Linked DNA regions of Schizosaccharomyces pombe. The protein of the gene in region 1 purifies or fractionates together with the protein of each later gene. This does not show direct contact. Each region holds a gene or a part of one and is shown in the gene's direction. Other genes may lie near its edges.

The links.
Region 2: the proteins of ctr1 (region 1) and cwf11 purify together in Schizosaccharomyces pombe (affinity purification with mass spectrometry, with the first as the bait; one study listed by BioGRID). This does not show direct contact.
Region 3: the proteins of ctr1 (region 1) and smd1 purify together in Schizosaccharomyces pombe (affinity purification with mass spectrometry, with the first as the bait; one study listed by BioGRID). This does not show direct contact.
Region 4: the proteins of ctr1 (region 1) and tgs1 purify together in Schizosaccharomyces pombe (affinity purification with mass spectrometry, with the first as the bait; one study listed by BioGRID). This does not show direct contact.

Annotation. Positions count from the first base shown.
Region 1 is NC_003424.3:1,900,373-1,904,341, forward strand, and holds ctr1 (protein ctr1), read left to right. Parts: upstream 1-1,703; 5' UTR 1,704-1,946; coding exon 1,947-2,834; 3' UTR 2,835-3,469; downstream 3,470-3,969. Other genes in the region: arb1 (argonaute inhibitor protein 1), read left to right, coding at 14-265, 327-1,059.
Region 2 is NC_003423.3:920,896-927,204, forward strand, and holds cwf11 (protein Cwf11), read left to right. Parts: upstream 1-1,776; 5' UTR 1,777-1,829; coding exon 1,830-5,684; 3' UTR 5,685-5,746; downstream 5,747-6,309. Other genes in the region: TORC1 serine/threonine protein kinase Tor2, read right to left, coding at 1-1,389; gta1 (glutamyl-tRNA amidotransferase alpha subunit), read left to right, coding at 5,955-6,201, 6,248-6,309. UniProt on the Schizosaccharomyces pombe protein: Involved in mRNA splicing where it associates with cdc5 and the other cwf proteins as part of the spliceosome.
Region 3 is NC_003424.3:4,519,684-4,523,074, reverse strand, and holds smd1 (Sm snRNP core protein Smd1), read left to right. Parts: upstream 1-2,060; 5' UTR 2,061-2,084; coding exon 2,085-2,098; exon of another isoform or gene 2,099-2,141; coding exon 2,142-2,191; exon of another isoform or gene 2,192-2,247; coding exon 2,248-2,537; 3' UTR 2,538-2,888; downstream 2,889-3,391. Other genes in the region: methyltransferase Mtl16, read left to right, coding at 125-198, 245-320, 399-409, 456-610, 659-1,035, 1,083-1,172, 1,229-1,603; etf1 (electron transfer flavoprotein alpha subunit), read right to left, coding at 3,004-3,391. UniProt on the Schizosaccharomyces pombe protein: Plays a role in pre-mRNA splicing as a core component of the spliceosomal U1, U2, U4 and U5 small nuclear ribonucleoproteins (snRNPs), the building blocks of the spliceosome.
Region 4 is NC_003424.3:840,908-844,348, reverse strand, and holds tgs1 (RNA methyltransferase Tgs1), read left to right. Parts: upstream 1-1,723; 5' UTR 1,724-1,858; coding exon 1,859-2,028; intron 2,029-2,107; coding exon 2,108-2,223; intron 2,224-2,295; coding exon 2,296-2,441; intron 2,442-2,489; coding exon 2,490-2,777; 3' UTR 2,778-2,878; downstream 2,879-3,441. Other genes in the region: DNA repair WLM domain metallopeptidase Wss1, read right to left, coding at 265-1,053; taf1 (transcription factor TFIID complex, histone acetyltransferase subunit Taf111), read right to left, coding at 2,962-3,441. UniProt on the Schizosaccharomyces pombe protein: Catalyzes the two serial methylation steps for the conversion of the 7-monomethylguanosine (m(7)G) caps of snRNAs and snoRNAs to a 2,2,7-trimethylguanosine (m(2,2,7)G) cap structure.

The DNA of each region.
Region 1 (3,969 bases):
GCTGACAAATTAGGCGAATGGAGCGATTTATTCAAAGATATCGATCACGCAGAAAATGGAGCGACCCTACAAGAATAAGACTGTTTACAATGTATCTAGATTTAGGAGGCGTTTCTACGGGCCAAAAACAGTTTACAGGGGGTACTGATATTAATAACGATGCGAAGGCACGAGAAGTTTCCGCTCAAACCACGACTGATTATATTGAATACGATATACTTGATGAATATGATATTGATTTTAAGTGGGTTGCTGGAGTATTTCTGTGAGTCATTTATGTTTCCATTGAATTTAATTCACGTTGTATTTTAGCTAATCAATTTAAGGTCGTCACACATTTTGTATAACGCTGGACTAACTAAGGAAGAGGATTTGCAAATAGCTTGTCAAATTGTTAGAAATTTTCTGCTAAGTGTTTTGCATAACAATGTTGCACCAGAATTCGAAGATAATATTCGTGACGCATGTTTATTAGCAGAGCAAGCAGAAACTGAATTAATTTCTAATAAGAGGCTATCAACTAAACTTCCCGGTAGATTGCAGCGGGCATTGGCTAGTATACATGTTGACAATTATAAAGGCTTATGGGACAAATCGCAAAGTGATAGGACAAGTGATAGTTCAGTCAATTTCATTGAATCCAATAATACCAAATTCATGCCAAATGATGAACTATTTGAGCCTGATGGAATTAGTAGATTTTCTACACAGCAAGCGCGCGACTACATCCAGAGAACTCTTGGTCCACGATATTTGACTGGGAAAGTCGTTGAACAAGAGTACTTAACAGTCAAGTTAGTTTCTAAAACGCTATTGAATTTTTCAAACCAATCTTTATGCAAAGCAGTGTTTATCGTTTGGGATCCACCCGGATCTAAATATTCTCAAGATACAAATAAGGAAAGACTAGAAGTAATTTTGGAATCTGATTTACTGAACAACACTGTTGATGGCACTCACTTAGAGGGATCGTTCACTTTTTTGGATAATGGACTGACTATATTAGACACTGTGCTTGCTGTGCTACCCACCTTTTATGAAGAAGTTAAAGATGAATAGCATTGTATTTTAATATAGTTACTTTTGTAATATAGCTGGATATGAAATCCTTTAATTAGTTGCTTCTTCTTATTGTGATGAGGATAAAGTTCTAACATATATTAATGACCCGTTGGTGAGTTCGTACTTCCCCCAATTGCATAAACAATAAGTATAAGAAATTATAATTCCCAATCACATAATAGATATTACTTGTGTATGTAATTTAATGTTTTCAAATATTTTTATACAAATACGTCAAACTATGCGACAATATTTTGAAAGCTAGATCGTGCAGAAGTCGCTTCTGAGTCAGTATTGAGCAATAAGAATTATTCGGATGATTTTTTCAATAATCTTAAGTTACTGTCAGGCTCAATGCAATAAACACGATCAAAAGAACATTTAAAGCTATAATGTGTATTCACTTTTAATTGTAAACACAAACGATTAAAAAATTTACGTGTATAAGTATTTTTCCTCTATGAAGGCTAAAACGTTATGTGGAAAAGAATAGTCAATCATCAATAACGTTCATAACTTGTACTATTGAACAAGTCGTGCTGGGTAAAGATAGAAATCAAGTAACTGGATTGGAAGTTGTGATTAGCATAGCGAAACGCAGCGCCTATGGCGAAATAACCCAGGTGAGGAAAAGACACCTTACAACTCCAAAACGACGAAAATAAATTGGTAATTGTTTTACTGGGTTAAGTGTATTGTAGAAGCATAATTGAATTGAAGAAAGTAATTGCTGTTCTTTTGGACCTGTTATTTTTGTACAGGAGTAAGCAAACTACGGCTTTCTGCAATAACTTGAATGTTTTGATATATTTACACATTCTCAATAATTTAAAAGAATTGAAAATAATTATTAAATTAATTAAAAAAATTGAAGTATCGAGTAGATGAATGTTGGAAAGAAATCCGAAATTCAAGTCTCAGCTAAAAGCAATCTTAACTTCCTTAATGAACTAATTGAGGAAAAAAAGCGATACGAGGACGAGAAGCGCAAGATTAGCCATCAAAAGTATACCGATAAATTATTGGAAGCCAATGATAACGAGACGACCAAAAGGAAATTACTGGTAAAACAAAAAAGAAAATCCAACAAGGAATTTCAAAGTAATATTATCAAAAAAAGAAAGGACGAGGAAAGAAAAGGAACTTTAAAAACTGAACAAGCTAATGAGGAAGAGCTGTTGCAAAGAAGTCGTCTGGAACTGGAACGAAAAGCTAAAAAATACGACCAGTATGCTGCCGGAGAACTGGAAATAAAGGAGACAGAAGATGATGGAATCCTTGTCGACTTCACACGCAAATGGGCTGAGGAAGCACCCGAAAATGAAACAGTTGAAATAACGGATGAATTTGGGCGAACCAGGAGTGTCTCTATTTACGAGACCGGTAATACCCTACTTTCACAAAAGGAGGAGTACAAGCCCGAAAAGCCAATATACGGTGACTATATGCCATCCTTCGAAGTAGACGAAGAAAAGGTTCAAAAATTGTGGAAGGAAGATGAGCAGCAAGCAGTTCATTATGACTCGACTAAGGAAGTAAGGAATAAAGGTACGGCATTTTACCAGTTTTCTTTTGACGAAAAAGAAAGAGAAGAGCAACTTCTATCTTTAAAGGAGATTCATGCTAAGGTTACACAACAGCAGAGAAAAAACACAGAAGATGTGTTAACCTTACGAGACAAAAAACTTGAAGAACGGCGGAAATTTCTTGAGCGAGACTATGCAATAAAGTTGGGGGAGAGATGGATGTCTGAACATTTTTCTAATAATTGAGGTAGAAACTAATGAAATGAAAACGTAATGATAACGACTCATAAACAAAAGCTTCTTAGCGAAAACAGAGAAATGTAATAGTACTGTAGGAAAAAAGGAACACGAAATCACCAAAAACAGCAGTAGTTTTCTTCTTTTTTGTTTTATTTTAACGAATTATTTATTTCTGATTATTGAATTCACAATCAGTATGAATGTGAAATATTAAATTATGTATTTTGGAGAACCATTTTTTTGTTGCGTATTTATAAAATTAATAAGGGAGAAAGGATAGGGAAAAAAGCACAAAACATATTAGCAAGAGTATACAAGCAAGTGAAAAATAATAACCAGTTGGATGGTCAGCTTTACTTAAGCATTCTTTTATAAATTTTTTAATTGGCGGCAGAAAAAGGAAAAAAAATAAACTGGACGGCCAAATATATCAAAGCAAAGAAACGTTCTGAGGATATTAAGAGGAGAAAACAACTTATATGTTTTAAAAACAAAAAACAGAAGGACAATCTATTAAAAAAAGAATCAAAACTCGAAAGCCAGCTAAGACTGTAACGGAATTAAGAGGACTTTGGGTGAACGGCTTTTGAAGGCTTTTGGATGCAACCGCCTCCAATTTCATAAAGTCGGTACAAAGCAAGGTATCCGCATACCACAATGTCCAAGACAATAGCACTCAACGTTGGCAAAATCAGAAGAAACGCAATGGTGAATGCGGAAATAACCACAAATTTGATAAGGAAAGACAAAATTTCTTCAAGCAACATAACTAAGTATATATACAAAACTAAAAGATACGTTTTGAAATGCGGAAAATGATAATTAGGAAACAGAGGAATATGACTCAGACTTTCAAAACAGCAGTTATAACCGACCGTGTACGTTTGTAAAAACAATTGAGAATATTATTAAAGTTACTATTCTCGTTTTTAATATTGGATCACTAGAAGATATTGATTTGTATGGGTTGTAATTTGAATTTCAGTAAATCAATGGCGGTAGATAATAAGGTAAAACTGAATTCCGCTGTCGAATTCAGGGCAATCTCAGCATTCCCGAGCGGTGCTTTACGAAGTGTAGTGGTGTGCGTTATTTTGCTGAAAATTGTAAACACATAAAAAACCAAACTTCAGCAAGAAGA
Region 2 (6,309 bases), on another chromosome or scaffold:
TAGAGCCAAAATATAGACGTCATTGGGAAAAAATCCTGTCTTCAGGGAAGCACTCTTTGAAGATTTTAAAGATCTTGCTACATATTGGGGAGGACATCCTGGAGGAATAAAAGGACGACCACTTAGAATTTTGCTGAGCATATCTAATAGTCGTTCCTGTATGACTGGTAATAATGGAGGTATATTATGGGCCAGATCTGAGAGAGCACGGTAAGAAGCCTCAGAAAGTCCGCTTGCAAATATTAAGTCAAAGAGGTCATACGCATAGTTTGAAAAGGCTTGTCCTAGTGCTATAGAAAGTAGGCTAATGCATTGAAAAATTGCAGCATCCGAAGCACTTTTATTACGGATATGGATTTTTAGACTTTCCTTGATTGAATCGCATATGGGGTCAAGATATGGGATTATGCTATTAGTAATAGCCACGGCAACTTTTCCAATAGTGGCAAACGCCAACATCTTAACATTTTCTTTTTTTAATAGATTAAGTAGATGGAGCATACAAACGTGTAAATAATTGGAAACAAATTCATCTGGATTATAAGCTGCGAGTGTAGCAATCAATTCTGTAACGGTTTTGCGAATAAGCAAATCTTTGTGATCTCTGAATTGCAATATAATGTCCGATACTTCTCGATACCTCTCATGCATAAACATTCCAGCTTTTAAAAATAATTGGCGATATACTAGTAAACTACCATGAATGTAATCAGAAGAACCCTGTGCAACACCACGTTGAGCTTCATTGAGAATACTTGTATACCATTGGAGACGGATGGATGAATCCCTTTGCCTAACGATTTTCAAGAACTCACTCAACGCATCAGCCGAAGCTATTCGAATAGTAACTTTTGGATCCCGAAGTCCATGCCATAAAAGCTCAAAAATTGAATCGATATGAGCATAGATTAATGTAGACGTATTTTTGGCAAGCTCCTTAAGTATAAGCACTGCTGCATATCTACGATTTTCATTACGTTCTCCTTGAAGCCATTCCAAAGCGCGTTTAACTTCGAAGTTCACAAATTCAGAAGTTAGAGCACCTCCAGGAACTGCAAGTCTCCCTAAAGCTTTTGCAGCAAGAACGGTGGCTTTTTGGTCAGTTCCTGGAAGAATAATACGCAAATAATTTGCAAATCTAGTAATCCTTGTAGTATCTTCTCCTTCATAATCAATTAGACGATTTATGGCAGTTACGCCTGCCAGACGATCGAGTGGATCGGTACTGTGAATTAAAGTATAAACGTACTTGTTAACATCATTGTTAAACTGAACTAAAGCTTCGCCCGATAATTCTCGAGAATAAGCTATAACATATTCATAAAGATCATTTGCCGCTTTATTGCGAATTTCTTCATTCCTGCTTTTCAACCCAGGAAATTCTTTCATTATATACAGCTTAAATTAGCATCATTCTCTCAATTAAACAAAATTATTAAATGTGGTTGGTGGTGACCAAACAAGCACCTGCTGTACTTTTGCACCTAATTCTTAGTATACGCAGAGAGGAGATCAATAGAAACACGATTGAAAAAGTAATATTTTTATGACGATTAATTATTTGTAATAGATATACAAGTTAATATTTAGTGTTCTCAAAAAATCCAAGTTTTATTAAAAAAAGTCTAAACTTAGGAACTTTGGTAAAATACCAAAAACGAGTGTTGATTATCTAAATTTTATTTTCGAAGTATTACTTTAAGTTTTTTACTTTACATTTTTCTCAAAGCTCATAGAGGAGAACAAATAAGAATCGCTGTTAAAGATTCTGACGCTAACCACCAAGTTCACAACACTTGTGATATTGCTAATATCCCTTTCTCTATTAAATGGTTCTGTATAAAAACAAAAAAAAACAAATCATTAATTATGCAAATTCGAATTGGGGTCAAAATGAAGGTGTAGAATTTCAAGAAACTATGCTACAATGCATCCTCGAAGCTGTCATTGTAAGTAAAGATGCTAAGCAAGTACTTAGTCTGTTACATGAGTTAAAGCTTTTTGAGAATTTCCTTTGGCAGAGGGTTAATACTGAGATGTCATTGAACCATATAAACTTAACTTGTATGCTTCTATTATACAAATCCAAATATGAATATATTACATGGGACCTCATTGATGAAAATCGGTTTCAATTATTTTTTGAAAAAGTAATTGAAGTCTCTTTATCCTTAAATTTATCAGAAGTGGTTTACATGATTCAATTCATTACTCTCTGTTTTCAGTTTTCGAATATAGAGAAATTAAGGAAACTTGTTTACCAGTTAACGAACATTTCTATTTTAAATTCGCTTGATAATCTTGATAAAGTAAAATATTTACTACATGACTCAAGCTCTCTGACGAAAGCCTTTGATTCTTATAAGGAAAAACGACCGTCTATCGTTGAAAAGTTCCCTTTACATAATTTACTTTCCCGCTGGATTCATTCTCTGCTTATTAAATCGATTAGCTACGCTCAAACTGAAAAACAAGAAGCGAAAGTAACCCCCCTTTTAGCAATTATCAATATGTCTTTGGTTTTACTATCCGCATTTCCCACACGTCGCTTTGCTCATCCCGTAATAGAAGACAGTTGTTTTTATACCGCATTAAGAATGTCTTTGTATTACGACAGTAATGAGCTTTTTAAAAAAATGACAGACGACTTAAACTATGTTTTGAAATTCCCTTTTGATAATACCAGAGGTAACGAATATGAGAAAGAACAAAAAATCAGAAATGATGAGCTTGTGTACTACCACTTACAGTTAACTTTATTTTCGGATTTTCAGAAGGAATTAGGGGATCTGGTATTTTGCACACAAACCTCTTTACAACAGCGACAAAAATTGGAGGAAATTACGTCTTTTCTTTCCTTCAATTCACTTAAGTCCTTGTGTAGTAAATGTTATTTGAGGACTTCATTTCCCGAAAAATATGCTATAAAAGTGGATTTCGAATTTTTAAAAAATGTTTTTATTAACACGTATGATAGGACTAGATTGGTAAATGATTATGATGAAATCATAAATTTTACTTTGAAAGATGTACTTGGTGAGCGATCCGTGATGGACCAAGAAAACTCTTTGACCAATTACTTCCTACTACAAAACACTGCTATACAATATCTTTCTATATCTTTTTTTATGAGACAACAGAGTAAAGCTTACAAAAAGTTATTGTTAAGGTCACTATATGCTGAACTTTTAAATTTCAGTGAACAATACAGGAGACTATCAATTAAAAATGCGACCAAGAATTTGACCAAAGATAATTTTTTCTCTTTAAATAACTTTAAAGTTACCTCCGTTGCTCCACCTCAAATCGGTCAAGTTTTACCTCAATTTGTAAAGTGTCAAATGGGTTTAAGTCGACCTGGACCTTTTCATTCAGCGTTACGTGATTTAAAGAATTCCATCAAGAGCCCTTTTCTTTGCTTAATATACATTTCTAAAGATATGGAGTACAAGTTATTACATGGTAATGCGCTTGACCCCTTAGAAGGGGTGACTGATTTTACAATCGCGACGATATGCAATGATGATGTTGGAATGTTTCAAAGCGATATGCAGTCAGATTCTGACAACAAGTCCATCAATGTATACCTAAGCCCATTTTATTATCATTCCCTTGCGGGGTTGGGGGAATATCGCCCTAAGCAATTGAAGTTCAACTTTGCTTTGGTACTGTCTCCTGAGGCAAATAAGTATTGGTTGGACTTAAATATTCTTGTATCTTTACTTAATCGCGCTAAAGAATTTCCTAAATGGTTCGAAGATTTATTTTTGGGTTTTGGAACGCCTGATATATGTGCTTTTCCTAATGCTGGGCTTAATTCTATTTATGCTAGAAACTTGTTCAATACAGTCGAACAGTTGCAATCAGTACTTCCTAATTGTCATGTACCTTCTAATTTATCAACTGAATCTTTACTAATCAAATTTTATACTAATCAGAACAAAATATCAGCTGATGTTACCGCATCTGATAGGCATTTTTTACTACCATCAAATCGATTATATACTTACAATGACAAACAGCTAGAATCGATTTTACGTGGATCTCAACCAGGATTAACTATGGTTAATGGTCCAACTCGTTGTGGAAAACATGTTTTGGTATGCAAACTTCTAGAGGTTTTACAAGACACATCTCCCAATGATAGAACCGTTGTACTTTCTGACTCCAATTTCTCTATGAATACTTTGTTTACCTTACTGGAAAAAGCTAGATGTTTTCACCAAGGGCACCTATTATATCTATCTGATGAAGGAAAAGACGAAACGTTGGAACGTTATGGTACTTTATCGTCTTGGATATCTAAGCTTCCTGGTCTTCTACGAGAAATCGGTCGCCTAGCTGCTTCAATCCAGGCTCCAGGTTCTCATGACGCCAGCCCAGATACGGCTTTGTATTTTAGGGATGCTTATATTAAGCGACTTTGGGAAAAGTACTTGAACACGGTAGATGATAAGGATTCTGTGGATGCCTATAACAGGTTCCCTTTCCATTCGTATTTCGGTGACAAATCTAAGCGTCCGATAGAAACGTATAATAAAGATAATTTTTTCGATTATGCGACAAAGTTATACGGGGAGTTAGAATATATGTTCCAACAGCTGGAAGAGATCCGGCCTTTTGGATTACTGAGATATTATGAAGATCAAGAATTGTATGCATTATGCCAACAATCTAGGATTATCGGATGCACTTGGACGAGCTTAAGTACACGCTTAGGGACTTTGAAAGAAAAGGGATTTTGCTTTAACAATTTAATTGTTATGAACTCACAAAATATAAGTGAAAGCTCTATCACTAGCATACTACTTTCAAACTGTGAACCAACTGGTTTTGATCGCCTTGTTCTTCTGGGTAATCAATATCTTACCTCTGGGAATCAGGATATAAATAATACGTCAAATGGTTCACTTTTCAAACGTTTGCGGTATTTGAAATCCAGAATTATTGACCTTAATACGCAATACAATGTTAGAGAATCTATCAGTTCTCTATGTTCATCAATTTATCCTTTGGACATCAAAACTGTGGATTCTAGTCCCAATAAAAGACTTGATTATGGTAATTCGGGGTTTGCACATGAGGTCCAATTTATTAATGTGGGAGCTTTTAAAGGTTCTCAAGAAACAGAACCCGTTAGCGGTTATAAGCAAAATCTTGGAGAAGCCGAGTACGCAGTTGCCTTATTCCAGTACATGCGAATGTTAGGTTATCCCACCAACGAAATTGTAATCTGTACGCTTTATGAGAGTCAAGTCAGCCTTTTAAATGAAATTATATCGGTACGCTGTTCTCATAACTCGTTTTTTGGTCAGCCTGCTTTTGTAGGTACCGTGGAAAAATTACCAAGCGATAAACGGGTAAACTTTGTTATATTTACGACAGTTGAATCTAAAGAGGCCTCTGATCATTGGAATCCAAAAACATTTTATAAAGCCTTTTCAGCATGCTCATATGGTCTGTACGTATTGTGCAACCGTGACCTTTTTCGCTCTACACGTGGTCTTGAAAAACTGTGGAATGAAATTGAAAAGACTCCTGACAAGCTGCTTTTAACCACGGGAGAAATATATCCAAGTTCTCACAAAATCGGATCTTCCGTTGAAACATTTGAAATTGAAAATTTACTTCATCTCTCAAACTATGTTGTTGAAATGACTAAAAAAAGGTTAAATACGAATTAAAATAAAAACCTACTTCATATAGACTATTTGCTTGTTGTATTGAATTAATGATTATTTGTAAGATTAAAGTCATTTTATTTCATTGCTTTTTTGCATAATTAACTTATTTAAAAAACTAAATAGTGAGCTTTACAAACAATAAAAAGTTGATCCCCTCAGAAAAAGTCTTAGGTGTCATACCGATAATAGCTCACTACTTTATTCAACTATACAACAAGTTGGGTAATACATTATTTGCACGAAGTTAACGTCCAATGATTGATTGGTCGAATGAGTAATAAATATAACAATTTATTAAAAGAAGTTGCAGCTAAATATGCTAGTATCATTCTAAATGATGCGAAAATTAAGTCTTTAACTTCAATAAATAGTGCCGAATATCTATATGATTCATTTGTTGAAATTAGTAAATTACCACTGGAAAAGAAGCTTCCGTTAAAATGGAAACTGATTACAGTAAAGGAAAATATTTGCACGAAGACAAATTTAACCACGGCAGCCTCTAATATGTTGAAGGGTAGACAATAAGAATATATTTCAGTTACTAATTGCGGTTTAACTAGACTACAATTCTCCGTTTGATGCGTCAATTGTCGAAAGCTTGAAGAAAGCCGGCGGTATTATT
Region 3 (3,391 bases), 2.6 Mb from region 1:
GATAAAGGCGATATAGCAAAAAAAATTTACGTACTCAAAAATATGACTGATAAAACTGATATTATAAATTTCGATAGTTTAGCAAGGGATTATCCCGACTTGAGATCTTTGTAGGGCGTTCTCAATGCCAATTTATATACTAATTGAACGTAGCGTCAAAAATGGTCGCATTGATTTTTGGAACGAAGATGCTATTCGGTTGGTAAACTCACATATGTTAAACGATTGCTTACCTATAAATTAGTACGTTAGGAAAAGCAATTCTGGATCGGGATTATTCTCTTCGTGTTGAATTTCCTGAGAATCGTCTATGTCCAATGGTAAGAGATGTGTAGCATCACCAATGTTTCTTTTAAACAAACATTTCCCTTCTCTCATAAATGCTAATTCATTTAAAGGTTCCAAACCGGTATATTAACACATTGTTTATTCATCATTTATAACCAACTTTTCAGAGCCACTTATATAAGATATATTCATGACCTGTTGTCAAGTACATCTGGGCAAAAGGATAAAAAAAGAATCATTGGTTTGGATATTGGTACCGGCGCTAGTTGTATATACCCATTATTAGGCTGTCGTATGTACTCATATGATTTCGTTGGCACCGGTAAGCTTTGATTTTTCACAGGCTTTTACTAATTACTCAAAACTCTAGAAATTGACAAATTTTCTTTTGAAACAGCCAAGAGCAATATTCTTCAAAATAACATGGAATCCCAGATCAAAATTGTGCTTCGTTCTAAACAAGACTGCTTACTCCCTGATACCGAAGGGATGGAAGAATTTACCTTTGTGATGTGTAATCCCCCATTTTATGAACATGAGGAAGATTTCATAAATTTTAAGCAAAATCCACCATCGGGTGTTTGTACTGGAGTTTATCATGAAATGGTTACAGAGGGTGGTGAAGTCGGATTTGCCAATAAAATCTTAACTGAAAGTAAAAAAAGGAAAGGAATTCAATGGTATACCTGTATGTTTGGCAAAAAATCAAGTGTACCTGCTGTGGTTGATAAATTGCGTGAACAAAATGTAAGTCCTAACTAGCCTTTAAAATTTTTTTAACTTATATCTGTAAGATATCAAATTATGGAATTTACGAACTCGCACTTGGAAAGACTAAGCGCTGGATAATTTGCTGGTCATTTCAGGCTATGCGTCCACACAATGTATGCTGCTATCGAACGATATTTAAAATTCATGATACTAACAAAAGGATCCAAAGGAACTTATACGTCCTTCTTCAACTTCCCTTTCTAAATATTTCCCCCATAAGGTTCTTCAGAATTGGACTTTAGACCCAGAATTATGTGCTCAAATTGATGACATTCTACAGAAATTCTTAGATGATAACAAAATTCCGTGGTCTAAAAAAGGATCCGTTTTGGAAATATCAACAAAATCTATCACTTGGTCTCGTAAAGCTCGACGGATATCCAAAAGTCAAACTTCTGTTTCTAGTCTGGAAGGACAAATGAAATGTGAACTGAACGTAATAGATAATCAATTGCAGTGTAAATGGATTGAAGGATATGATTATAATGTTTATGAAAGTTTCTGTTCAGCTTTAGCGCGAGCTTTACGGGACAATAAAAAATAATTCAATTCGTGAAAATTCACTTGGTAATCTTCTTATATTGAATAGCCAAAGCTTTGAATTTTGTATTTGAATAAAATGTCTTAAATTGTATAAAATAAATGATTAAAACAAATGACATGCGATACATAATAATTTTATCTCTAAAATTTGATGCCTTAAAGCTCATTCGAGTATTGGGTTCGAAACCCATTTATTTAGACTAATGAGTGCTTTCACTTAATTATTAAAATTAGTATCAAGCTTTTTCAACAGTCGAATCTGTATTAAGAAGTCTTAGCTTCTCAACTTTATTCTCAGATACTGGAAAAATAAATGCACATGAAGATCAGCCTATTAATATCACAAAGCTATTTTGGACTAGTAAAACTTCAGAATCCATTATATCTTAACATAAAATTGATGATTTTATCTATTGTTGATGTGTTTTAGTCGAACATAATACTTGATTTTTGCAGTTGCCAGGAACACCAAAGCACACACCATGAAGTTGGTACGGTAAGTATGATAAAAAATCTATACATATTCCTAACGAGTTTAGCTTTTTAATGAAGCTGACGAATGAAACTGTCTCTATTGAGTTAAAAAATGGTACGTAAAGCCTTACTTTCGTATAATAAATGAACCAAACTTACCAAATCGCGTAGGCACAATTGTTCACGGAACGATTACTTCTGTTGATATGCAAATGAATACCCATTTAAAAGCTGTTAAAATGACTGTCAAAGGTAGAGAGCCAGTGCCTGTAGAAACTCTGTCAATTCGTGGAAATAACATACGCTACTACATCCTCCCAGACTCGTTACCACTTGATACCCTTTTAATTGATGATAGCACAAAGCCAAAACAAAAGAAGAAAGAGGTAGTACGAGGTCGTGGACGTGGACGTGGCCGTGGAACTAGAGGCAGAGGCCGCGGTGCTTCTCGTGGGTTTTAAATATTATGAAAATATTCTCTTTTCGCACCCTTATTTTTGTCAGAGAATTTAAAATTATTGGCAATATCAATCGGCCTTTGCATTTTATTTTCTTTTAATAGATTTGCTTTGTGATGACATTGAAGTATTGCTGAGAGTGTATGCGTATTCTATGTTTTCCATGTTTCTATCATTTATCTCTGGTTAAATATCTAGACCGCTAAAAAAATCCCTTTCTTTCTCATACGTTGAAATGTTTGATAATCAACCTACGATAGCTTTGCTGAGGTGGCTTCATAAATGTATGTATAAAACGACTTCAGAGTTGTTTCACTGGTATATAATTAAATATTACATCAAAAATTTCCTTAATTTATTACGAGTACCCAGTTAAATAAACGTGTATTTTATTAACTTCTAAAAAGATGTGAAATTTGAAATAAATGTGATATTATGAAAAATAAGGAATCATTCCTCAACATGATTTTCAAAGTTTTTCAGTAAGCTCCGGGACGATTTCAAATAAGTCACCTACAATTCCCACATCTGCTGTTTGAAAGATAGGAGCATTTTCATCGCGATTTATAGCAGCAATGACTTTGCTATCTTTGATTCCGGCAAGATGCTGAATAGCACCATCAATTCCAACAGCAATATAAAGCTTTGGGGCGATGATTTTTCCAGTTTGACCTATTTGTAAAGAATTATCAGCATAGCCAGAATCCACGGCAACACGTGTAGCACCAATTGCTGCACCCAATTTGTCAGCCAAAGGTGTAAGGATGCGTTCAAATGTCTCTTTGTCTTTCAAAGGTCGACCACCAGCAACAACTCTTTCGGCAGAAGACAAATCAGGCCTAGCATTCTTTATAATA
Region 4 (3,441 bases), 1.1 Mb from region 1:
CATTTCTATGTGTTTTTTTTTGAACAATACTTTCTGCCATTTTTTATGATATTTTGTTTTAATACATTTTTATTGGTTTATCAATCATTAAGAGATATATTAGTCTTTAAATGAAAGCTGTTTGTTTTAATGTATTCATTATTTCTCTTTGTTAATCGTGTTACTCTAGTACGAAATGTCCCCCAAAAAATGCTACAATTTAAAGGTGATTTGATTTTGTATACAAATTTTTTTCTTTTTTATGTATTTATTCTGTTGTCTAATTTATTCTACTACGAAATAGTTTTCCAAGGTTGTAGAGCTATTGTGATCTTTAGGCTTATATTCATTAGAATTGTCGACTCGGAGAAGTGCCGCTGCAATTCGGGCTTCCCTTCCGCGCATGCTTTGAGCTTGGGGTTTTGCAGGTGATTTCAAAAGCTCTAATCTTATGTTCATATCAGTTCCAAGCTTTTGTCCTGTTCGTGTAAGCTTCCGCTTCTTTGTTGAGGAAGGGGTAGGCTTTCTTCTGATTTTCTTTTTTCTTTGCAAAGATCCACCACAAGTTTCCACACCATGCATTGTGCTGCGTTCCAAAGTTATTCCGTTAAATACAACGGTGTTATAATTTCCTACTACATTGGCAAGGACAAATGAATCCCAAGTCATGTACTTTCCAGGGCCTTTATAACCTTTGGCGTAAAGAGCAATCAGGGCAGCTCGAAGAGTTGATAAATGACTGAAAAACCGACGATCGTGCGGCCCCTGCCAAATATGACAGAGTTCGTGTAAAAACACGTCCATGACAAATTCAAATGGTAACCATCGATTTGAAGCGTCTCTAAGGACAAGCTCAATACATTCTCCCTTATTCCAGTTTCTTCCCCAAAATTTTGCATTGTAAGCAACCTCATCCAACGAAGTGACTCCGAATCCATGCTCCTTCATAATAGGAAATGCCATTGCGGCAATTCTTTTTAAATAATCAGAAGATAGATCATGGAAATCTCCTTTTATAGCAGATATAAATCCTATTTTCTCATTTGGATGGTCATCGTCGTTTATTCGTAGCATAAAGCTAACACTTAAAAGGATACTCGTAGTCAGAATATAATATAAATACAATATAGCGATCATGGAGTTACTGCGTTTTAATATTTTATGGTACCGTCATAGGGCTTCTTGAATTCGCTTAACGAAAAATAATTTTCAAATGCAAATAAATAGAAATGAAAAACATTACAGTACAAAAATTAACATATTTTCACAATCAATTAATTTTCTGTTAAAATTATATTATTACCTTAATTTCAATAAGTTTAGTGAAATTGCTTCCTATCGATACAGATCGATGGCAACACCGATAAAAAATATGTAATAAAATATTTATTGACAAAAAATATATATATTACTAAATACTTTTCTAAACACAATTACTGACATCCTTTTTAACAAATTGTAAAAGGATTATAAAATGCTTAAATTGAATAAATTTTCTTATAAGCAGACAATGAGTTTTATTTAAATTGTAACATATCGATTCCCATGGTATATATATATATGTTGATGAAGGAAGCAAACGAAATTCGTGAATAAGTCAAAGATAAATTCTTTTTCATGTTTTTCATATTTAGCTGTATATGTGTCTGATTTCATTGCTTTATTATTCTGAAAGAGCATTGAACTTTTCATTCACAATTTTTGGAGTTTGAGTAACAAAACACCGAATTTTTTGAACACACTTCAAATTTCGTCAATTCAGTAACGGTTAATTAAGGACTTTTGGATTAGCAACGAATATCGATAAATTTCGGGTTGATCGTGAACGATTGTTGACTAAATTTCACAAAAAAGTAGTTTAATCGAAAAAAAAATTTGAATGAACAAGAACGAAGAACTCGACGAAGATGAGCTATTAAAAAAATGTATCATATGTCCTCCGGTTCCCAAAGCTCTTAAAAAATATTGGAACAATCGATACAATTTATTTTCACGATTTGATGAAGGAATCTGGTTGGATTATCAGTCATGGTATAGTGTTACCCCCGAGTATGTATAATAGCATTCATGTATTAATATCAGTGATTTTGTTGTTTGCATTTGAATGGGTCTGACAAATTATAATTAGAAAAGTAGCTGTTGCTATCGCGAAGTCGGTTGTAGATTTTATACAGCCCGAGCTAATAATTGATGCCTTCTCTGGATGTGGTGGAAACACTATTCAGTTTGCCAAGTATTGCCCAGGTTCGTTTGTAATAGTTTGTTATCAACCTTACATCTGTATCATATCACTGTTTATTAACGCTTTTGTTTCAGTAATCTCAATTGAGATCGATCCTATCAAAATCGCTATGGCAAAGCATAATTTGGAAATTTATGGCATTCCTTCATCTCGAGTCACTTTCATTCAAGGAGACGTTCTTGACACTTTTAAATCTTTGCAGTTTGCTAAAGATTACAGGGTATAGATAATCTTATATATTAATTCTGTGTTTAACAATATTTTCTAGTCTCTTGTTTTTATGAGTCCTCCTTGGGGTGGACCTAGTTACTCAGGAAAAACAGTATATTCATTAAATGACCTAAACCCATATGCTTTTGATGTTCTATTTAAAGAAGCAACTAGGATATCCCCTTATGTTGCTGCATTTTTGCCAAGAAACACTGATGTAAAGGAACTTGCAGCATATGGGAGTATTCATAACAAGCCTTATATTACCAATTTTTTATTTGAAGGATATGCCAAGGCAATTTGCTGCTATTTTAATATGAAGGGTGCTATTGCGCGAAAAATTTGAAAGTTTCAACTCATTTTCACGTGAAGTTCGTCAACTATATATTTGATTTCATAAACATAAATTGATTATTAACATTTTCTACAATGAATATCGTTATAATTAGATTCATCACCAATAAACAAAAAAGGAGCGATCGACGCCCATCATGAGATGTCAAATATTCTTTATAACACTCAGTATTATTTTAGTTTTTGTCGAGCATAGTAGCCAAACCTCCTTCAGGTCTACCAAATAAGGGACATATTTTGTTGGTCTTCATGTGGCCCACTTGACCACAGTTACTACATTTGCGAGTAGTGGGTTTTCGTCCTTCTCCGTTCAAGTTGATTCCTTCTTTGGCAGCATGTCGAGCTCTTCGTCGCTCCCAATTCTTCTGACTCTTGGCAAGTTCTTGTTCAAGACGCCTTCGGTTGCGTCTATCAATTGCTTCGTCTCCAGTTGGTACGACGGCATCAAGAGCAGTTGATTGTTCGTCAATCTCACGCCTCTTCTTCAGATAGGCATGGATGACTATCGGGTCATGAATGGTTTCCTGTTTACGTTCCAAATTTCCATTTTTGTCACGATAAAGTCGAACAATTCGTAAAACTTTATCAGAAGATGGAGTTTCTTCTCTCGTAGTCTCCTCATTAGATTCAACGTAATCATCATGTATAGAATTGAT